Linked DNA regions of Drosophila melanogaster. The protein of the gene in region 1 interacts with the protein of each later gene in a pairwise test. Each region holds a gene or a part of one and is shown on either strand. Other genes may lie near its edges.

Evidence for each region.
Region 2: the proteins of tx (region 1) and CG13488 interact in a two-hybrid assay, tested with the Drosophila melanogaster proteins (one large-scale study listed by BioGRID).
Region 3: the proteins of tx (region 1) and CG13526 interact in a two-hybrid assay, tested with the Drosophila melanogaster proteins (one large-scale study listed by BioGRID).
Region 4: the proteins of tx (region 1) and Cpr66Cb interact in a two-hybrid assay, tested with the Drosophila melanogaster proteins (one large-scale study listed by BioGRID).

What each region holds. Positions count from the first base shown.
Region 1 is NT_033777.3:26,437,636-26,445,087, reverse strand, and holds the start of tx (taxi), read right to left. Parts: upstream 4,311-7,452; 5' UTR 3,352-4,310; intron 1-3,351. UniProt on the Drosophila melanogaster protein: Probably plays an important role in the differentiation of epidermal cells into the tendon cells that form the attachment sites for all muscles.
Region 2 is NT_033778.4:21,947,975-21,954,154, reverse strand, and holds CG13488 (uncharacterized protein), read right to left. Parts: upstream 2,564-6,180; 5' UTR 2,529-2,563; coding exon 2,385-2,528; intron 2,312-2,384; coding exon 1,751-2,311; 3' UTR 1,593-1,750; downstream 1-1,592. Other genes in the region: CG43405 (uncharacterized protein), read left to right, coding at 203-472.
Region 3 is NT_033778.4:22,753,714-22,756,396, forward strand, and holds CG13526 (uncharacterized protein), read left to right. Parts: upstream 1-1,505; 5' UTR 1,506-1,611; coding exon 1,612-2,076; 3' UTR 2,077-2,183; downstream 2,184-2,683.
Region 4 is NT_037436.4:8,333,870-8,340,826, forward strand, and holds Cpr66Cb (cuticular protein 66Cb), read left to right. Parts: upstream 1-2,802; 5' UTR 2,803-2,867; coding exon 2,868-2,879; intron 2,880-3,719; coding exon 3,720-3,959; intron 3,960-4,042; coding exon 4,043-4,279; 3' UTR 4,280-4,726; downstream 4,727-6,957. Other genes in the region: Pex2 (peroxin 2), read left to right, coding at 5,286-5,321, 5,388-5,465, 5,521-5,952, 6,007-6,306.

The DNA.
Region 1 (7,452 bases):
GAGTTGTAAGGGCATCGTGAAAAGTTTGCGACATGCAACAAACAAGCTGCAATTAAGCGCGCAACACAGAAAAATTTGTGCACCGTCTTCAAAGAGGGGCGGCAAACGTTGTTCACCTGCTCACTCCCCTCGCTCCCCTCCGCCCAATTTTCCCATTTTCCCGCCCTCCGGTCCAAAACGACGTGAAAATTACCTAGTTCCGTGTGCTTAAAGTGGGCCTTTTCGCTGGGTGGGTGGAAAAGCGTGGAAAGTGCAACGACTGTCCGCAATCAACAAATTGCATGCGATTAAAAGTATTCGCGGCTAATAAACGTTTGTTGAACAAACAGCAACAAGCGGCCTCCTGATTTTCGGAGTCGCAACCGGAGGGATACAGGATATGCTGCAAGGAAGTGGAGCAGGAAGTTAGCGGGGCGCAGTTTATAGTGCATAGGGCCTGTTTCGTTCTCTGTTGATTGGAAAATTTGTTGCGCGCTTTTCGTGGACAAAGTGAGCGGTGGGGGGGGGGGAAGGAGGGCGGGGTGGTGCCTCTGCTTAAGTTTTCAATTACACGCCGGCACAATGCAGAAAGCGCCCAATTGAAATGCACAGACAACAAACATAGAACAGTTCCTCTTACACAAAAGCCCAACATTTCATTTTGACACTGAGAAAAATCGGAGGAATGTGAAAGAAATACGTTCAATCAAATACAATAAAGCTGTTATGTTTGATTACTGCTTATAACATTTCAGCTTATCAAACTAAGTTGTGTTTTTGTTATATGATATATTTATAAGATCTCATATTCAAATAAAATGTTGAGCTTTTTGACAACAAAAAATTCTTAAAGTTTTTTTCCTTACAATTATTTGCAGTTGAAGAATTTTGTTTCAGTGCACCCCTTTTCCTGATCCCATTCTCTTTTACCAACAGTTTGGTAGACAAAAGGCGAGCCGTGCGTGCGACGAGGCGTGAAGGGGTCGAGGGGCGGGGCAGGGGCGTGTGGGTGGGTCGGCCCGTTCCACAGATATATAAAATACTTTTTTTTTTTTGGGGAAAATCAGATGGAATGGGAATGGGGACGGGGAAGTTAGCCAGGCCTAGCCGAAGTGCACTTGAAACTACCGGCGAGTGGCTCCTCCTCCCTCTGCAGTCTGCCCTTCACTTTTGGTTCGGTTGCAGTCGCTGCATTTTTAGGTGTAGCCATTAAATTTAGAACTTTTTCTGCACGCTTGTCTGCGCGCCCATGGGTTTTCCGGGGGGAAAATCGGGGCAGGAGGAATTGTTGAATTCAAGGATTTCGGCAGTCGGGTGCGGTTAAATGGAAAATGAAGCGTCTGCTGCTTGGGCACGGAAAAAAAAGCAACTGAACCACATGAGGCATTGCTATAACGAGGGTAGATGACTTAGTTTGAACAATGTTTTCTCTTGACAAGATAAAGTTAGCATGGTAAACGGATCTAAACTTTGATTTATAAATATTAGTAATCCTTCAATTGAAAAAGTAACTAAAGTAGTAAAATCATCATCAAGAACTAAACTTTCAACTTTAATTATTGCTTTTGAATGAAATCCAAAGTTGCTTTGTCTTTCGTAACTTCAAGAGCTGCCCTCTGGACCGATTCGCTATGGAATCTCCGACTGATTCAGATTGTCTCTGTGCCTGCCGTGTTTTTGATTCGTTTTGTTGTTGTTGTCTTTTCCACAGCTCTAAAATTAGTTTTCATTGTATGCAACTTGAATTTTCTTCCTTCACTATTTTCGTTTTCTTATTTTCGTAGCGCTCTATCTATTTTTTATCTGCCTCGATTTGTGATTCTTAATTTGCTTTTTGTGGAAAGCGTCAAAATCTTTCATTCGGCTTCGACTTTGTTGCCGATACTATATACATAGTCACCTATAGTCTATAACCTTTGTTGTTGCTCGCCTAGCTAGTTGCGCGTGTGTGTGTGTGTGTGGTTGCTGTTGTCTCGTGCTGTTGGCTGTTGCCAGTTGCACGTTGCACGTCCCCCTGATGCTAGTCTCGTGTGTGCTACCGTTGGCAGCTATTATTTTTAGCCGGCCTGCGGCAAGTTCTTATTTGTTATTTTACCCATCTCTTTTTTTGCCGTCTTTTGATTTTTTTACGCTTCTTTCCTTTTATTTCGTTTTGTTTTTTCTTCTGTTGATTTGTTGCCATTGCTTTGGCCAAATGATTTTGTTTGATTTTCCATTTACGTTGAGTTTGTTTATTAAAATTGGCACACACTGCGTATGTGTGATGTGGCCGTGTTTACATTCACCGTCTCCCTTCCACCACCGTGTGGATAAATACGAATACGTATGAGTTATATTTTGATAGCTTTCTGTGTGGTTTTGTATTACCCATCGGCTTTTGATTTGCTTGATTTTTTGACAGGTCTCTGGCATTTGCCTACGACTAACTTTTATTTTTCTTGATTTATTCCTGCTATTGTTATTGTTTAAGTCTCTTTGCAAGGAGGGGCGCTGGCTTTTCCCACATACGATCGAGATTTGGGTCAGGGGGACAGCAAACAATGAGGTAGGCAAGTATATATAGGGTAGCAATAGACTCATGTGTCCATAAACTAATTTAATTTTAGATGCACCTTTCCATGGCAGAAAAATCATTAAAATTTGACTCGATTAATGCGTGTATTTTTGGCGAATTTTTTTTTTGTAAATCATAAAATATTTATGACGAATAACATTTTTTAATCATGTATTGAGTCAGCCCATGAGATGCTAGTTTATTTTAGCTTTCGACAAAATGAATAATATATTAATATATTAAATAAATAAATGCCAAATTAAAATCGGCGATTGACTGGCTGCCAGAAACCAATTTTACTCGATTATTTGGGCAAACATAGTGCTTGTTGCCGAATGGTATGGCGAAAATGAAAGTAAATAAATAAATGCCGGCGTTGATTAGCACATCACAGATTTAAAGTGAGTGGCAGGTTAAGCGGGACTCTCATTGATGATGAGAATTCACAGCTTTTGTTTGCACATTAATTAAACTGTTCCCCCTACTTTGGTCGCAAACAAACGCAGCCAAGTTGCTGCTTCCCTTCGGTAACCTTTGAAAATCAGTTGACAACTGGCTGTCGTCGCCGTTTTCCCTGCTGAGCAGCTCGAAAACATTTTCCCCTGCACACATCTGGCTTTTCAACACCTTGGACAAATAAATGTTTCAGAAGTTTCTTAAAAGCCCGCCCTGCCCCATCTGCCAGCCACTAACGTGATTGGACAGAGGAATGCCTTTTGTCTATTTTTATTGGGGCGGCAACAAGAGATCGGGCAGATCTTCTATATCTTTTCTATATCTGAACGCTTATGTCTGATAAATGGCGGCGGTATATTTACCTTTTTGATTTCATAAATCCAACAATGTATGGCTGCGGGATTGGTCTTTCAGGATGATTTGAATTCAGTTGTGCACTCTGATTAAGATTTGTTGATGTTTTTATTTTAATTTTTGGTTCATTAAAGTTGCGCCAAAGTATGCAAATTGAAATTCCGACAACGCGCTGTCTAATTAGTCACCCAACTAATTTTGATATGCGATCTTTGTTTGAATTTTGTTTTGTTTGGACTTTTTTTTATTCTTTTCGGATTTAAAGTTATTAGCTCATGCATAAATTTGGCATGTTAACACAACAAAAAAGGTTTGTTTTCAGTTTTTATTTCCTCAAAAACTTCTGGAACTTGTTTTGGTTTGAATTAATATTGCGGTGGTTGTGGTTGTTGCGGTTGTGATTGCGCCGCTGGTTTAACTATTGATAATAACTTCGGTACGGTTTTCGCGCATTCTTGAGTTGTGTTTATCTTGGGCCTGCTGGAAAAGCCTCGAAGAATGGATTTTCCGTGAAAACGTGCAAGCCGCGTGTGTCAGTGCGGCGGTACTAATGTGTGCGGCGGTGTGCGTGAGGCCGGTTGCTAAAAATATCTATGAGTGCGCGTCGCTCGCGTTCTGTGTATCTGTATCTCGGAATCTGTATCTGTATCCAATATCCCGAGATGGCATACGAAAATACACGGAGAAAATGCTGCGCTGCGTCCGCCTGCTGCGCTTGTCGGCTGTGCACTGAATAGATATATCTCGCGGATCGCTGGGATGGTCTGACTTGGTTTGGCTTGGGATGCGGTGGCAGCTAAATCAGCTGACTACTGCCCCCAGTTGGCTTTGACTCCGTTAGCCAGGTTAGCGGCTCAGGTGGGCGGCGATGGCAGTGGAAGTCGGACTTTTGGCTCACTTGTCCGCTGCGCTGAGCGTGCGGCGCGCTATTGGAACGATCAATGAATGAAATGCCGCATTAAAAGGCAGCACAGTCTCGTTTTCTCAGCGACGACCAATAAACCGAGAAACCCACTGGCGCTCGCCAACGCCAACACAAAACAGCCCAGCGCACAACACAACACAACACAGCACAGCTCAGCACAAAGTCATTGAAGAGAAACCAGTTCTCTCTTTCCCCAAATATCCACATCCACCCGATGTGTGGGTGCTTTTTGCGTTGGCCGGATCGGATGGGATCGTATCGTATCGGATCGTATCGTATCGTACTGTATCGCATAGTACGGTCCCAGTTGGTCTTTGGCGCACTCTCTTGAGTGATTTCCGATTCGGATGGATTTTCGGTTTCGTTTCGAGTGTTTTGAGTGCTACCACGAGTACGCGTAGACGGCCCCCTGAGATTTCGTATGATCTAATATCGCCAGGCAGTTATTTATTTAAATTTATTGCTAATTTTATTTGCTGCTGCAGCAGCGCTTGACATTCATTTGTACAAGTCAGACATTGCTTGAGCTCACTTGAAAATAGTTAAAAATGTTTATTCGCCTTTGATTGAGATGGTATCAGCTACCAAAGCTTGACTTGTGTCGGATCTCCATTTTTAAGGTTGAACTTTGGTTGCCAGACCATAAATGATACTCATTCTTGGTATTTATTTGGATCAACTTGGATTTCGTGGCGAATTATGAGGCACGTCGAAGTAAAGTTCAAGGAAATCTCCTCATTTGTTTGTCATTTAAGTGTTTTAAGAATGGATGGTGGAATTTTGTTGTTTTAACTTTAATTCATGACAAGTATTTAAAGTATTTCCTGTAAGATAATATAAATATATATAATAACAATTCTTCGAAACGTGGTGTTCAGTAATTTTCAGCAATTTAAATTGTAATTAAAATATTTTTGATGGGTATCTGATAGCCGACGCTTTTGACTCCTGTCCATATATTTGGATTTTATAATTTATTCTAATTCGTTTCGATCAGTTTCAGTTCAGATGTATTGGGTGTGTGCACTTCTCAAGTTGTTTTCACATAGCGTCTAATTTCAAAGTGCTAAGCTGATTTCAAAGTCACAATTCAGTTGTTGGAACCCGATTTTTTTTTATTTTTCAACAAAGAATATTGTTTAGAGTCATGTTTGTATAGTTTGTTTTTGCTTGCATTTTGTTGCTTCGCAAATAATTATAATTAACTGAAACAGGCAAATAATTGCAAAATGGATTTGCTCCTGCAGGCAAAACAAGTTGTTTTCTCATTATTGTAGCTATGACGACATACCCGGCTTAAATCTCGAGTTTGCCCCGATATACTCATATACGAGCATTTGTGAATAAATGACTTCGGGCAATAGACCGATCGACTCTGTGACTGACTGGCGATTAATTTATCTTTGTGCTTCTGTCTTCTGTCTGAAGGCGAGTTCGTCATCGTTTGTCGTGTTTTGTTCTTGAGTAAATAAATCATGATGACAACAGTTAAATTTGATTATGATTCTTTTTTTTTTCATGCCCAGAAAGCATACATTTTTCATGGCACAAGGTCGTCACACATTTTAGGAGAGTGGAAAAGTAACGCATGCAACATTAATTTGATTTGCGTGCGAAGGGAGCTGAAAATCAAATTATATATGTACGAATATTTTTGATTAACTGAGCGTATTTAAAAATACATACAAAGTGGCCAAAATGTTGTGTTTCTTTGCTGACAGCTTAATCTGCCGAACGACGACGACTCCCAAAGACAAGAACATGAATAAGCGAGCCATAATTAAAAAAACAAACGTCACTTTTGAATGTTTGTTTTGTGACCAAGTCCAAAAATATATGGGCATGGCCAAAAGGGGCTGAAAACGTGGTAATAAAATATATACATTTTAAAAAATAATCAGTTTTAAATAATTTCTCGCACTTTTACACTAATAATTGCCATAATGCATGCTTGTAAAGACTGAATTTATATAAGTTTAACTAATTGCTACTTAAGTACTAGAATTTTATGGCGTTAATTGTCATTACTTTTAATCTAATTTGAGCGTGAATAATGCCCCTGCTCCACCTGCCATGTCGCTCAATTGCTTATGCAAATGTTCTGAGTTTCAGCTTTGGCTTTGGCTTTTAATTGCCAGCTTCGGAAATCGCATTTGCCTTAATATGGTCAGAAAGCCAGGCGCGATGCCCAGTATAAGTTCGATCAAAGGGGGGCCCCAAACGCTATAAGCCATCAGCTATTAGCCCCTTCCCTCTTGGCCCACTTGGATGGCCGGCGATCCCGCTAAGGAAGTCTGTGAGACGTGTCTGCGACCATTTATGGCCATCGCACGGGAAAGCAGTGAGAAAGCAGAGACTTTTGTATACAAACTCTCTCGACTCGGCTAATTGTGAGCATCGTGGGGCTTCGGGCCAAGCTTCTGAGCTGGCTGTTTTGTGTGTACTGTTGCTACCTTGTCGGCTGTTAACTTTGTCTGCAGCCTCGAAAAAGCGTTGGTGTCGCTGAGTGGGCGGCGACTGGGTCTTGAGTCAACGTTGATTTTGTTTTATATTTTACGTAAATTTATTATTACAAATATCGTTATTGCCGCTTTCAAGCGGAAATACACTCGACTTGGCCAGCCCACGCTCCCTCACGGTCATAACCACCTGCACAGGTTATCTTTTCGTTCTGCCTGTATTTCTTGTTGGCTTTTGGGAAGTGGAAGCTGGCTATTTCGAGTGGAATTGGACGAGCGGAAATGCCAGGCGATTAAGTTGTTGTTCCTCAGCTCGGTTACGTTACCTTTTTCTATTCGTCTCATTTTTAGTGATAATTAATTTTCGTGAGCTCTGTGATACTGCTGATTTGCATAAGTGAGGGTCGCGTGGGTGCGGGGCATATGAATCAGTTGGTAGACTTATGAATGGCATAGTAAAGTTACTTTGTTAACTTTCACGGATTGACAATAGGCAATTATTGCAATGCGATTAACATAAAAATAAATGAAATTAACTCTTTAAGTGCTTTTTATTTGTCAATGCTGCAGGTATTTCGATTTAATTGGTTGAGCAACGTATGAATGGAATTTTATTGCATTACCATTAACTTGTGCATGCTCAAAATGTAATATTTATTTGCTGAAATCTTTAATGATGCGTTTAAGTAATTCTATTACAAATTAAAGTGAACATAAAATGATAA
Region 2 (6,180 bases), on another chromosome or scaffold:
CTCTTAAAATTAAAAAAAAATCTATACCCAAAATAAAATTTCTGAAGGGTCAGGGTCATCGAAATTCTTAAGCTGCTATGCAAGGAACGGTGAGAAGCATTCGTTAATTTAATGTGATTTTCCTTATACATATTTCCTTCCATTTAGAGGGTTCAATCTATTATCGAAAGCAACAAAATTTGCAATTTATTTCCCATAAGCTATGGCCGAGTTGGATGCTACAACCCTATCTGAATACGATATTGAATATATAGACTTTAACATGACAACTGTGGCGTACCGTACAACCACTGGACACCCGGATACTAACCTAGGTGCTTGGGGACTTTTGTTCATATTCGTCGTAATTTTTCTTATCATTGCTGCCTGCTGTGCTTGTATGGGTGTTCTCGTCCTTTTTGGTTGTATGAAGTCCTTTCTCTGTTTTCGCTGTAGACGCCGAGGCGACGAGTTTATAGGAAGGGAACCCTGACTGTCGTTGAAATTCTGTCATTAAAACTGAAACTTGTGCTAATAAAATTATATGTTTTGTATGAATCGAAGTCCAAAGGAATTATTTTGCCGACAAATTAATGCGGTCCTGCCAAATTACGGCAGAGTAATTGGAAAAGGATGTACTGAAGTTCAATATAACATTAACCAAACATAATTCTAAGGAGAAACGTCAGGACTTACCAGATTCCTGGACAAGTGGCATCTACCAGTAGAGAATCCTTGGCCAAAGTGCCAGTGTGACAAATGTAAACCGATTAGCCACAGCTGGGGCCGATTATCAGATGGCCCAAAGAAAATAGCCCAGGCCCTACAGAAAATGCCTCAGGTCAGGAATTTCCAGAGCTTTCTCTGCGGACTGTGGACTATGGACTGAGTGCATAAATTCCTGGCATCTCCTGCAGCTGCAGGAAAGACACAAAACACTCGCCCAAGTCCAAGTCGTAAATGCACTCAGCACTTTGTCAGCTCTCAGACAGGAAATGCAGTTGCCATTTTTCTTTCATCCCAGCAAATCCCGTTCACCTCCTGCCTTTGGCCCCCGCCCGGAAAGTCGTTCTGCAACTGTCTACATTTTTCACTTGCCATCCATAAAAAGTATCAGTTTTAGTTTCAGTTTTAGTCCTCGCTTGGCTAAAAGTCTCGTATGTCTTTTGCCTGTCTGTTGGCTCTGTTGTTTTGCTGTCTCAATTTCGCCAACGCTTCCATATTCAGTTTCATAATTTTTACCCAAGTTTATCATCCTCTTTGCCAGGCATGACAAAGTTTTCATTGCCGTCGACACAGGGCCTGGAAAAAGTTTCCTCCAGCTGTGAAGTGCATTAAACAATGCCCTCATACATGATCCGAGTGATGAGGAAGGGGACGTGCTGTGCTAAAATTGCATTTATCGAGGGGGAGTAAGTGCAAGGACACAAAAGGATAATAGCTTCGATGCACTTTCTTACTGCCAGGCGTTGGTACATGTTCAATTTACAAATGCTATGAATACGTTTTCTTTTATAAAGAACATCCACTTTCTAGCCAAGGAACTGCTTAACATAGCAATAATAAATATTACTAAAATACATTCTTAATGCAAATTCAAACTTCGTTCTTATATTGCTTTCATTGATAATACCTCAAGGTCATGGCCGGTTATATTTAAACCACAAACATTCTCTTGCTCCACCCACCCATAAATAATGTTTATAACTCTTCTTATCACTAAACGGCATATCGTATTGCCTAACAATTCGTTCACCCGGGCCGCCGCACTCTAATCTCTGAAATTTCCCAGCCATTTGACGAATTCCCTCAGCTTCTCCAATCTTCGGGGTCCGCCACGAGTCAAGATTTTCCTCCACCTGCGCTCCACAGCCAAACGATCCTCCCTGTCTATGGACTCCAGGTGCTTCCTCAACTTCCGGTATATCAGCTTCTGAAGCTGGGATGTCCGGGTCTGAACCGTGCGCTTCCATCGATCGAATCCGTTGCGCTGCAAGCAAAGCGCAATCAACTGGGTCTCGATACTGGAAGTTCTCAGTGGATCTCCCGTGGTATCCGAATCTAGATAGTCCTCAATCACGCCATAGAAGGCATTTAGCTTCTGCTCCGTTTTATTCGCATTTACGGCAGTGAAGGCATCGAAGCGATCCAAGTAGCCCAACAGAATGGAGTTCTGCGAGTCCAAGACGATCAGATCTTCCACCACATAGTCCACCAGCTCGATTGCCTGGGAAACTAGCTGAGTGCTGATTGTTTGCAGAGCGTAATCTGATTGCAAATACAACCGATAGCGACTTCGATCTCCATAGGTATTGATCAAAGAAGGGGTCAGCTGGAATAATATGAAAGCATTTATATTCAAGCCATAGTTAGTATGAATTGAGTGTTATAAAATGTTAATTAACCAAGCTACACATGTTGGATGATTTATTGCTGTAAAGCTTTTGTTCTGATTTTAAATGTACAGTTGTATGTTTTAATTTAACGATGTTTCGTGTATATTCGATACCCACCACGAGTAGAAAACCTAGTAAATTCTGATAGCTCATGGCCGACTTGTTCCCTCGAAAGGCGTTCGTCTACTGAACATACTCTACTCAATACTCAATAAACTGGGAAACAGAGCAAGTCGTAGATAGTCTTATCTATCTGAAATTTCCATGTTGAAGGTTGGCGCTTGTCCAAAGGAAATAAATTATTTATAATTTCATAAAGATGACACATGACGTCATCAAGTCAATGACGTTTCGTAGGTGAAGAACCGGCAGATAAGTGATAGGAGGAGGTTTATTGGACTTAAATTTATGAATGGACGCCGCCGGGGGCCAGACAGTAGTTATCTGCATTTAACAATGATTTCGATTCAGGCAAGCGTCTGAAGAGTTTTAGCCACTGGCTCTTTATCTCTCACAGAGAGCAAATAACCCACCCAAAGCGGTGAGATATGTGCCCAAATCTAAATCGCTTAGCAACTGAAGATGGCCAGCGAGTGCGGCAGAAAAAGGCGAAAGCTTGACAGCGAAACTATTCATTGCGTATACGCTGCTTGGGCCGTAATAGCAGTGAAATAAAAGTCCACTTAGTCAGCAGTGTGACGGGCAGTGGAAGAGAAGGGGTAGGGAATGGGGGAAGAGGTTGAGGATGCGATATGGGGGGTCATTCATTGTGCTGGGGTCAGACCCTCAGGACAATCGCCTGTATCCGTGTGTGTGCCGTTGTGATAAATGCTTGAACTGGGTCAGTGGCGTACGATGATGAAACTCTGAGCGCCAAAATGGCAAATAAAACGCCGATTGTTCGTATCAGAGTTTCAAATGAAATCCTCTATCCCTGCCCCACAATAAATGCCTCGCATTTGGAGTTTTCGAGTGGCCGACAAATCCCCAATGCGCTGCGCTCAGCAACGAACTGCAATTTCAACTTTGATAAGCGAAGTTTAGTGCAAAAATCCAAAAAAAAAGGGAAATAAAAAAATCACCATCACCCCCGCCATATGACAATGTTATTAGCGTAGTTTTTGCGATTTCCAGGGATTTAAAGCGTTTTTATGTCCTTTTTTTTTTTGTGCGGCTAGCGTTGCGATGGTAACTTTTCAGTGCCGCATCCAAATCCTGATGGATGCGAAAGCGTTGAACCGGTCTAAACTTAATTGGGAATCTGTGCGAAAGGGTGAAGTCCCTGGGATTGTTCAGAATTCCGCAGCCAAAAAATCAAGGGAACATCATCAAGCCCGAAGACTGCTAAACAATTACGTCCTTTGGGGCTGAGAAATCCCAGCGCCTTTTATATGGCGAAACAATAACCGAGAACTTTGCCTCCGGCGAAACAGCCGCCTAACACAAGTGCTATAAATTGCCTCAACAACGCCTGCTGTTTCTCCGCCCAACCATTTCCCCTTTATCAACTCCCCAACCGTTGCATGCAAATTTCAATAACTTGTATTCGGTAACCCTTCCAACAACTGACACTGAATATCAAATATGAGTTGGGGCCAAAAATTATTTGCATACTTTCGGGGATGCTTTGCAGCACTCCAAAAAACAAGAAGAGCGAAACAAAAATTGAGATAATATGCATAGTGCGTTCTGCCTAGGCTCAAAATACCCTTTCTTTTTTTATTGAATACTTTATGATCTATACCATACACCATTTGAAAATAAAAACTATTTTCTTTTGCTTAGCCATGCCAGAAAGAACTTAAAGCTGAGAGTAACACAAGTACCTTAATGGTTTTAAATTTTTTTTAAATTTAAAACTTATTCAACATAACTAATTTCTATAGAGTATTCCAACCGAAGAGGAAGGAACCCACAGGAAGTACAACCAGACTCGCACATGTGGCGCGCTTTGGTTTCGGTGGGGGGATGAAAGCCCTAAACAGGAGCAAAAAAGGATACAGAAGCGAAAAAAGAGGAATCGCTACATGCCTTTGTAAGGGGGTGTAAACAGCAGAAGCAATCCTTTTTTTTTCGTTACACCGAAACGAGTTATTTATTGCATTTGCAAATTTTACACAACATTTTGCAGTTACCTCAGTGCCGTAAAATCCGGTGCTCTCTCCACTTTTCCACCGCAAAAGGTGGAGCCGAAGTTTATCGCGGTAAAAATTGATTCAGTTTGTACACAAATTTGCATGTGTATCGCGGTAGCAGACTCCTCCTCGGGCTTTGTGTAATGCGAAGCTGCAAGTTCAATGAAGCCAAAAGGTGTTGCCTTCCCATCCCTCAAGCCGTGAAATGGATGTGCAAATATTTTCATAAATTTGTATGCCAAAGTTTCAGGTGTCATGTTTGAAAATATCCCAGAGATATTTCGAAATTCCAAAAAAAAAAAAAACGAGAGAAGAGTGCTGGAAATTTGAATTTTGCGGTGTCAATGAAAATTTGATTTTTTACATTCTTGCTTGAAAAATTGCAGCGATAATTTTTGATAGAGTTGTAAATTTCAGTTTGATTCGGAGGAAGCGGTTTATGAAATTGCAACATAATTTATTGTATGGCATAAATATCTTGGAATTTCTTGTGACATTTTGATAAGTGCAAAATTTCTAGGAGCTGTTCGTATTAAATGGAAAAGTTAAGTGAGCATTTTTTTCGTTTAACGATTTGATTTCCCTTTCATTGCTGTTGTTGCAACTCTTACTTTTTGAACCCTTTCCTGAGGATATTTTCCACAAAAAATGTAACTAATTCGCATGTCCTTCTGGTTGCCACTTATCTCTGCTGCTGTTATTTGCTGAAATATGGGGGATGTCAGGCCAAATAAAGGTGACCAATAAAAAGTGTGGCCAAGATAAGCAAAGTGGTGCAGACAAAGCCCGCAAAACAAAACCGAGGGAAAAAAGGCGACTGAAACCAGGTTGGAAAGCTGAACAAAAGCTGGCTATGATTTAAGTTTTTTTATTTCCTCCTCGCGCCAGCAAAATTGATCAAGATATATAGGTGTATTTTGCGGGTAACCTGGTTAAGTGCACAGTCGAGCTGTCAAGATAAGTTCCTTGTTTTAGGTTTCTGGCTACACTTTAAGCCCTTAATATGTGTGTCCAACTTTTGTTTAACTTTATTCGGATTTCTTTGACCGCACCGGTTAGTCTTTGTCCCGTATCCTTCGGATTTCCCGTAAGATGAATGCGCTCTGCTTATCTGGTGGTCACTTTTCCTCTGTCTCGATTTCAATGTTGGGGATTCCCGCTTTCCGGGCTTTCGTTGCCTGTCAAACGGTGTTTTAGTGCCGGTCACAGGATACTCCGGTCCGCCCGATTATCTCCTAGCTCCGTGCTGAAAGCGATATGTCTGCACGGTGGGCTGTCCCTTGTCCTCGGGAATGGGATACCCTTCGGCTTGACAGCATCTTAACTAATATAATGCCCAATTTTCTGTGGTTTATGGCTTACAACTGTCAATGCTTCGTCCGACCATCCATCTAAGCATTTGCCTCTGCGGGTTGCGCTGAGCTTTTTACGGGATTTTCCTTGACCATTGAAAGGTCGTTATTTAAATTGATATAAATGATATGTCCTTGCGTTGGCTCTCCTGCTTTTTTTGAGTTCTTTGTTTGGTCAGTACTTTGACATTCGGCGGGGCTGTAAGTGAATTTCAAATCGATATCAACGCTAAGTGACTTTGATTTATCAATGTGCATTGTGCATGAGTTATTTGCACACACGTTTGTGTCTCGACCACTATTTGAGCAATTCGCCTT
Region 3 (2,683 bases), on another chromosome or scaffold:
TGTGTGCGGAAGGGTAAGGGGGTGGCGGTTGAGGGGGAGTAGATCCTGTCAGCGTGTGACTAAAGTGTGTTGGTGTGTGTGTGAGTGTGTCGGTGCGGTTGGGTAGCAGCAACATTGTTGCAAAATGATTTTGAAAAAAAAAAACCATCAATAACTCAAATATAATGACAGTTTTCCACTTGTTGTTGCCCGTCACAATCACCCGCCGCCCCTAGCTGCCAACCACCACCATCCCCCGCCCCTAAGTGGGGCTAAATGGATGAATAACTTAAGCCAGCTGCTTCGCCTTTCCTCTTAGTGTGCGATGTTATGTAATGTAATAACGTCAATCAAATTTAAAAAGGCAGACCAACTATTTCAAAATCAATTTTCCTGAGACCCCGCCCCAGCGCCCCTTCGCCATTGCGCCCCCACCCCCTTTTCATGGAAGCGGTGGGAATGTGGAAAAGTGGAAAGGCAGCGGAAGGAAACAGGAAAGCGAGCTCGGCTTAAGCAAATACACAAGCACAAGTTGTTGCAGCATCAGAGGAATCCTGAGTGGGCTGTTGCTTGTGGAGCGGAGGAAGTAGGCTAATGTAGCAGAAGAAGACTCCGGACTCAGTCACTTTGCAAACAGTATCCCCCACTAAGCTCTGACTAGCGAAATTTGCAGCCAGGCACCGTGACACCGAGTGAAAAAGTGCCTGCCATGGTTAAAGTTGGGTTTAAACTTTTGACTGGCCGTGGCGCGTGGTTTTTGCCCCCGGGAGAAATGTATCATTCGTGTCATTAATCATTCGTCATGTGGGACGGCGACAACATTTCATTTGCTTATCATCCGGCTCAAAGTCTTTGGGGGAATGAACGCAACAAGAGCAGGCCTCAAAGTTGAATGAATCAAATGGGCTGTCGGAAAACTTATTTCTAAGCCTAGAAATCCCTGACAAGTCAGTGGCTTCGCGTCCCCTGCGATTGTAGGGATTTGAGGAGGCGGAGGTAGAAGCATTAGACAGAAGGTGTGGTTAAATAAATGTTTTCTTATTTGCTGAAATTACAGCAGTCTTAATTAGGATTTTCTCAAAAATATTTCACAGTATGGTTGAAATTTAAAAGTCCAACTATGATAGCATTTATTCAATATAATTACTTGAAACTGGACAGGGATTACAAAAAATCCTTTCAGCTAGTACAAGAGCATCCTTTCAATTTATATGCCCGCTTGATTTTTTATGGCCAGCACTCCACAGCACAACTACTGCCCATCATCATCATCATCGTCATCTAACATCATTCCTGTCCCATGGACGGCCACTCAAAGGCAAGCGCTGAATTGACAAATTGATGGATGGTTCTCCAAACGTTGCATGCTTCAGCATCTCTGCTTTCCTTATTTTTTCCCTTTATTGCCCCTTGTACGAGTATATGATGCATTATTATTCCGGAAAAGTTTGTGACCGCAACAACAACAATTGCTTGCCTAAGTGTTTTATTAGCCATCGAGAACAGAGTTTGAGTTCGGTTGAGTTGAGTTGATTGTCAGTTTTCATACACATCGGTTTTTCCCCATTTCTCCTTTTTTTTTTTGTATTCCTGATTTTCCTGAACTACTTTAGGGTTTTATTTGCTAGTGCCATGCCTTCTTTTTCCGGCAATGAGCTGACGAATGAGCATATCGACGAACTGAGGGATGCCTTTGAAAAGTATGATCTGGACTCGAATGGCACATTATCAGCCAACGAGGTGCGACTGGCTCTAATATCAGTGGGTTACGAAATCACTGAGGCAGAGTTGTACGATCTCATCCATTCGGTGGCTGTGAGAGACGAGGAGAGGCTGGACTTGAAAAAATTTATACGCATGATGGCGCCCCGAATGGCCAATGTGGATAGTGATAAAAGTCTATGCCGGACCTTTAACATGATTGACCGCGATCGCGACGGCTACGTCACCGTCCAGGATGTTCGTGCCATTATGGTCGTCCTGGGCGAAGTCGTAACCGATGACGATATTAAGGATATCTGCCAAGCAGTCGATATGGATGGCGATGGTCGCATAAGCTTGCGCGATTTCGTAGGCTTTATGCACAGCCCCATTTGAGCTGAGACAGCAAGCAAAATTGAACATTTTTCATACAGAGTAAGCAAACAAACAAAAATGTATCTCACAAATCTATTGTAGATTATAATAAAAATTATTGTTTTCATAATTATTAATATATTTAATTTTTGTGTAAAAAGCCAGTCAGTGTTTATGAATTTTCGTTTAATTTTATAATGGTTTTTTTTTTATTTAAAATGTTCTTTATTTTGTTTTTAGTAGGGCTTAATGTTTGAAGTACTTAAAAATTGAAATTCAATACATAGACGTACATATATTTCTGCCTGCTGGCAGAAAAAACGAAGGCGGCTGAATGGAAAACGGAAGGAAAAAATTGAGAGCATAAAGCCAGAAATTAATTCAACAGCACGTTTCGTCCATTAAGCCGCCAGAGCTTTGCTTGCTGACTTTGCCATCCTTTCGCCACCGCCCCTGCCACTCCCCCTGCAGGACATGGACATGGACACATGTGCAATGGCCGCACACACAAACACACATGCAAAGTGTTGTGTAAACAAGTCAGCTGCCAGTTGGCTGGGCGCTGCAGGCGGGGCTCACAGTAGGGGAAGAGCTAGAAGATGAAGAAGGAGCTTATCCAGAAGGAACG
Region 4 (6,957 bases), on another chromosome or scaffold:
TGATATTTTTTGCAGTGTGACAAACTTTTTGTCCGATTGCTTTGTTTTATTTTGTTTGGCCGATGTCGCAAATGTACACCAGAAATAGCTATAGCTTCGGCTTTTGCTGTAGCGGCAGGAGGACTTCAACTGCTTTTGGCCAAGTTAATGCATGTACTAAATGTCTAACGGTAAATATGAGTTACTAGGTAATTGCTTGGCCTGCTTACCTGCAGCTGTTACATGCGCGCATGCGCATAACCAACAAAAGCAGCAACAACGCGTCTTGACTTTTCACTTTTGTGAGTGGGAATTGATTGAGTGCCCAAGTGCTCTGGGTAAAAGTAAGTCATTCCAGGCAAAAAAGAAAAATTACAGCAAAGTGAATCTAAACTATAGCTAACCAAAAAATTAACACCTGCTGGCCAGCAAAATGAAAATTTGGTGTGCAATTACAACGACAGCGAGGAAAAATAACAATTTTTGAGTCGATAAGTGGCAGCGAAATCAGACGAAAATTTGTTGCATATCACAAGACAGAAATGGGTGAAATGGCCAAAAAATGAATAGACAACATTGTATACCCTTGAGAGATTAATAGTCTACTGTTAGATGTTTTGCATGTTTAGGAATTTAGATAAGCTTATTTTTCCATTGGGTTAAAAGTACCTGATTTGCAGTACACTTACAATGTACATCCCCAACTTTCCGCCATATTCGATGGACTCTCTTTGGAAAGTTCACCAAATTGTAACTCAAAATTGTATCAGCAATGCGTTCAATTTGCGGCGCTTCGTCGAATTGCCAAATGCAGCGGCAGATACAGTGCGGTACGTGACTGTATGTCCATGGGGAATGCCGCAAAGGCGACTGCAGTCGTTTGTCGAGTGTGGCATGTTGACTTGCGTTATTTTTTTCACCTGCCGCAACGCCAACGCTCTCCAGCTAAACATATAAACATAAAACAGCAGACGTAGACCCCAAATCGTGGGCCATAATTAAGCATTTATTTTATTTGCCATATTTCTTGCGCTGCATCGGGATTTACTGCGGATTGGATTGGTAATCATCGTGGACAAAAATGTTTGTTTTTATCCCCCGAGTTTTTCGGTTTGTCATGTCTCGCAATGTTGTCAAACGTTGTCGACCATAATATAGCAATTAAAATTGTGCTCGTATTTAAGAGTACATCAACCCGATGACACTCGTTTCGTTTTGACCAGATTGAATCCACGGATCCATGGATCCATGGCTGATCTGCCAAAAAAGAGCTTGTGAATCGGGGCTATGCAAAGTGGTTGGCTGAAAAACTGCACGAAATTCCCATACAAATCCAAGTAATTTCTTGAGTTATTGGCAAACAACTTGCCGATGAACTAGATTACAGAGATGGATGAAATGAGTTGAACGAGTGCATGATGGGCAGGAATTTGGAGTTAAATAGGGGAAAACATGTTGAGGATTTTCCTTAAAGTTGTGGGAAAATAATGAGGACTGGATTGACACAAATTAATGCTTTTTATAACGAAAAGTGTGCATAAGTTTTTTTTTTTCGTTTTGTTAGTGAATATATTTAAGTTACAACAAACTGGAATTATATTGTTGCTGAGAAACAAAACACCTGAATGCATTTGACAAAACGATTGCCTCAACCTTCGAGGTGAGAACCTTAGAGTCACTAAATTCCACGCTTCGCTGCCTAATTAGCGCCAACCAATTGCAAATTGACGAAAGACCCAAAAAATAGCTAGCATTGGTTAATTTTTCTTTAACGCAATTGTGGCACTTAACTTTGAATTAAAGTACGTGGCAGCCAAAGTGTGTGTGTGAGGCCCACAAGCACACACACACACACAAAAGAGCTGCGAACAAAACTTCTGTTTTGTGTGAAACAATTAAATATTACAAAATTGGCTTTTATTGGTACAGCCTGGAGACCCAATTCAAATCTAATGCTATTTACCAGTTACGAATTTACGAAAATCAGCGCATTAAAAGTGAACGATTAACCGGAGGCTAGCCGCAATAGAAGGTTGCCCCAAAAATGTTGCCCAGCAGCAGCCACGAAAATCATCAAGCCGAAATTTGGGTCAAACTGCGTTTAATGAGCCCACTTGCACGGCAACAATGCAGACCTGCAATGCAAATAGGCTGCCAAGCCGAGTTGGCCAAAGCGAAAATACCAAAATATTAACAAACTTGGGCTCGCTGGGGTGGGAGAGATGGATTGGGGGGATGGGGTTTTGTTGCAATGTTGCAACTGCCGATCAGCCACATTGATGACGACTTATCAACGCCATCGCATGCGTCACTAATGGCACACAAAGAGTCCTGGACGACAAGCACTTATCGAAAATGTTGCAATATAATGTTGCTAGATATAAAATAATCTATAAAAATAAGAGGAAAATATTTAAAAATGTAATATTTGTCATAAATGTAGAGAACTTTATTACCTTTGTATGGCATATTGTCTTCCATTGTGGGCAATTATAAAATTTTAGAACCACATTTTCTTGTTTCTATTCTCATGTAATCATTGTTGATTTTCGATATTTTTCCTGAGTTGTGCCGACTTTTTATTCTAAGTGCATTGGGGCTGCAAACATCAAACCCCAAACAATGGCAAACAACAACCACAAGTGAACTGTTTTACATTCGGTTCAAGAGACGCTCCGCTCACCGAAGACAGCAAAGTCGCTGCTGCAAACCACCGCTGCTTGAATCCACCGAGCCACCGAACCACCGCTGCCAGCCGATTCACTTTCTTCCTAACCATATAAAAGCGGCGCATTTTGGTTGCAACCACATTATTCAGTGGTGAAAAGTCGTTGCGTGCAGTCAACCAGTGATCTCCAAATAAATCGCGAGCTAAAACTCAAACTAAAATGGCATTCAAGGTGAGCAGCAGCAGCCAAGGATAAAGGATAACGATTGTGAACAACAAACTATACAGCAAAAAAATATCCTAAAGGATACAGCAAAACGATCTGAGGATCGAGTGATATTTAAGAAACCAAGTGATTTGGTGGTGAACGAAGTGGAAAAGGTGTTCCAAATCTCCAGCAATCATTAAAAGGATATTCATATTAAAAATGTGATTTTTAATTTCAATATGCAATGATTTTTAATGGAAACAAATTTTATTAAACATCGGAACAATAGGATACTGTACTATTTACTATACTAAAGAAAAATTATAAATGTAGAGAATGACAGACTAGGAGCTCAAAGAAAGGCGCTTTTAGTAAAATATTCGTCAGGACCACTAAATTTCAGTTTAAAAATCATCCTGACAAAATTTCACTAAATCAATTTAGCTATTTTGTGCTAATTAAAAAACCAATTTAAAGACAACCTCAAAAACCACAGTTCAAACAAAAGCACCTATTAAAGTAAATCGTTTTAGGATTTAGGAAAAAACTCACACTTTTGCTTTAGTTAAATAAACCTCCCGCTTAGTTAACCAACAAATTTGCAGTCAGCCAGTAAACCACAAAGTAACCACTAAAAGTATATCCAAACAAAAGCGTCAGTCGACCACAGCAAACACTTGATTATGAATTCATTAAGACCAGCAAGAGGAAAAAGTCCGAAATTGCAAAGCAGCCATAACATGGATAGCTACTGTCTGTGGCCAGCAAGTCCTCCAACGCTAATTGCAGCACTTGCAACTACACACACTCCGTCAACGGAAACAATTAGTTGCTAATTATGCACCCACCTATCTGATCTTGCAGTATCTGATCTTCGCCTCGGCTCTGTGCCTGAGCCTCGCCTATCCGTTGGAGCACCAGTACTACGAGGAGAGCCATGGATATGAGCACCTGGCCCATCACGAACCGGAGCCCATCCATGAGTATGGCCACCATCAAATCGAACGCATCTCACTGGGCGAGGAGCACGGTCACCTCGAACACGCTGAGCCCCACTACGAGACCCACGAGTCTCACGGACATGATGAACATGTGGATTACTATGTGAGTATTGTTTCTGAAATTCAAAATTACACTATAAACTATAATCAAAGAGATGATGATGATGAAATGTTGTTTCTTAACAGGCTCCTCCCAAATATGCTTTCAAGTACGGCGTGAATGACTTCCACACCGGAGATGTGAAGTCGCAGCACGAGACCCGCGATGGTGACACCGTCAAGGGACAGTACTCCCTGGTGGAGCCCGATGGTTCCATCCGCACCGTGGACTACACCGCCGACAAGCACAATGGATTCAACGCCGTGGTCCACAAGACCGCTCCAGTGCATCATCATGAGGAGCTGCACGAACACCACTACTAAGCTAGTACACACTGCGCACTAGAGTTAGCCAAATTGCTCATCAGCCGGAAGTGGGAGGAGGATTATGAGGACTAGGAGGAGGGACAAGCATATCCACATCGGTCGACCATGGAATCAGCTTCATATCTCGTAATTAGGACATCAGCACACACCCAGGCCAAGGATCACATCCTGTCCATGGCCATTTCATTAACATTTTGTATATTGTATTTTATTCTGTGATAGCGAATAACTTCTATGTGTATCTTCCGCTTTCAACTGATCCTTAGTCACTACCTGCTCAGACGAATTTACCGATCACTACTCGACTGTTTGCCTTAATCTTTAATCTATAATCTATAATCTGTAAACTGTAATGTATACTTATGTCTTCTCGTAAAACAGAGATCGAACGAAGAAATTGTAAATTGTGTAATAAAGTGTGAATTATGTACTTTTTATAAAATCAAAACTCACCCGACCACTGGCCATAATTTTTTCAGCCGGGGCCAATCATTGAACTTGCACTCCTCAAACAAATGACCAAATGTCTCAGCTGACCAACTGGTTTATGCGTTTCCAGACGTAAACGGCAATGGGCAAGATTTCCACAAATTACCAGACATCGTTAGACACATTTTCCGGATCCCAAACGAGTTCTTCAGTTCATTGTGGTTTCTTGTATTTGTTTTCATTGAAATTGCATAAGCCTTAATTGAAATGTTGACGGAAAATGCTTCCTAAATGGTTAAAAGACTTGGAGTTTCTTCGAAATGTCGATGTAATTGATATATAAGCTGATTTCAATTAGCAATAAATAAAAAATCAAACCGCATTGCTAGTATGGCTAGTTTAAATTTGGCGGGGTTTGTCGATATAGTTTACCAGCACTGTTTAAAAATGTCGATAATGACTAGTAAACTTTCTTTACAATTGCCATCTCTAATTGATAAGAAAGGGCAGAGTACATATAAATAAGAAATATATCAATGGTCAGCTAACCAAAGGCAAGAATATAAACAAAATAATGGAGAAAAACAAATATGTACCACGTGTAAATCAGGTGAGCTAATTATGGTGAGCTATTCATGAATTAAAACCACTAAAATTATACATGTTTACCTTTTAGATAGATGCCATCTATTTGAACAAGGACATTGCCCGCCTGATACGCGATAATCTGCTGGAGAACTTGCAAGCCATCTCAGTGAGTATATGAACACTACCATAATTGGCCAATATATACTGTATATCTCTCACAGCCCGTTTTGTTCATCAAAATCCAACCGGAGCTCGACTTGATCATTCAATCCGCAATTTGGTTTGGTTCCGTCGGCAAGCGGTGCTCCACTTTTGGCCAACAGCTACTGGTTCTGGCTTACGATGCCGAAAAGCTGACCGTTTCCAGGCTGGTGCTCCATTTCATCCTGACCGTCTTGCCGGGCTACGTGAAGAGCTGGGAGGAGCGACGCTTAACAAGGCGCGTAGAATGGTTTAGCGAGGCGATTATGTGGGTGGAGAACAGTGCCCTGATACTGAACATCCTCAATTACTTTCGGTTCCTGAAGACAGGACGAAAACCCACTTTGGTGGACTACTTATTGGGATTGGACTACATTAGTCTGCGGAACAATCAAAGGAGAGACATTGGCTACAAGTACCTAACGAGGGAGCTGCTGTGGGGAGGATTTATGGTGCGTGTTAGTTAGTTTGCTTATTATACATATATATTACAGTGTATATTATAGGAAATCCTCGGACTGGTGTTGCCCATCATCAATTTCCGTAAGCTACAAAGAGTGCTAAAATCATGGACATTTTCCGGACGACGGTTAGAGGATAGAGATGGTCCGGCTTTCCTGGCGCCGCAGATGACACTAAGCACCACCTGCACATTCTGTGGAGAGCGACCCACATTGCCCCACCACATGGGCTGTGGTCATATTTATTGCTATTACTGCCTTAATGCAAATGTTTTAACGGATGCCAGTTTCTGCTGCCCCAACTGCGGTTCTGCGTGTCCTGAGTCGGGAATCCAAAGTGTCTGATAAATAGGAATATAGTGCATGTGATGGTTTTATATGTCTTTTATTAGTTTTAAGCGAAAAGTGGGCTGTAAGTAATAAACAAATCATTTTCATATTCCGCCAAATGTGTGTACTTTTAGTGTTAGCAAGCAGAGTAGTGTTGGTAGTCGTACAAAAACAGCTATTATTTACTTGCCCAGTGCCAGGAGTCGTGCGATATAAACTACATAAAAAGTGTATAATTAAACGAAAATAAAAAGCAAAAACTGTTTAGGGCGAAGTATAAAGCCTTGCGGATCCAAAGTTAACTGCTGATTTTCCAAGAACAACAGTTAAGATCAAAAAGTAAGTTCTAAATCCCTATCTTTGGTAAATAAAAAGCGCGCGAAAATATGGGAACAGCTGTTGCATTCTCAACCAGCGTTGCCAAATGTGGCAAATAAATTAAGCAATTATATGAACTCAACTGTTAAGTAGCTCTAACCGTATTTAAGCCACTAGATTAGATAGATAGACTAAGAACATGATTAATATTCATATTTTTTGGGTGGCAAAGCCACACCCAATTTGTTTTGCAATTTCGCGAATCAGCTGCCTGCGGCGATGTGGCAACGCCATTACTTTGTTATTATCTCATTTTTCTGCTGCGCATTTCGTCTTTGTCCGAATTTT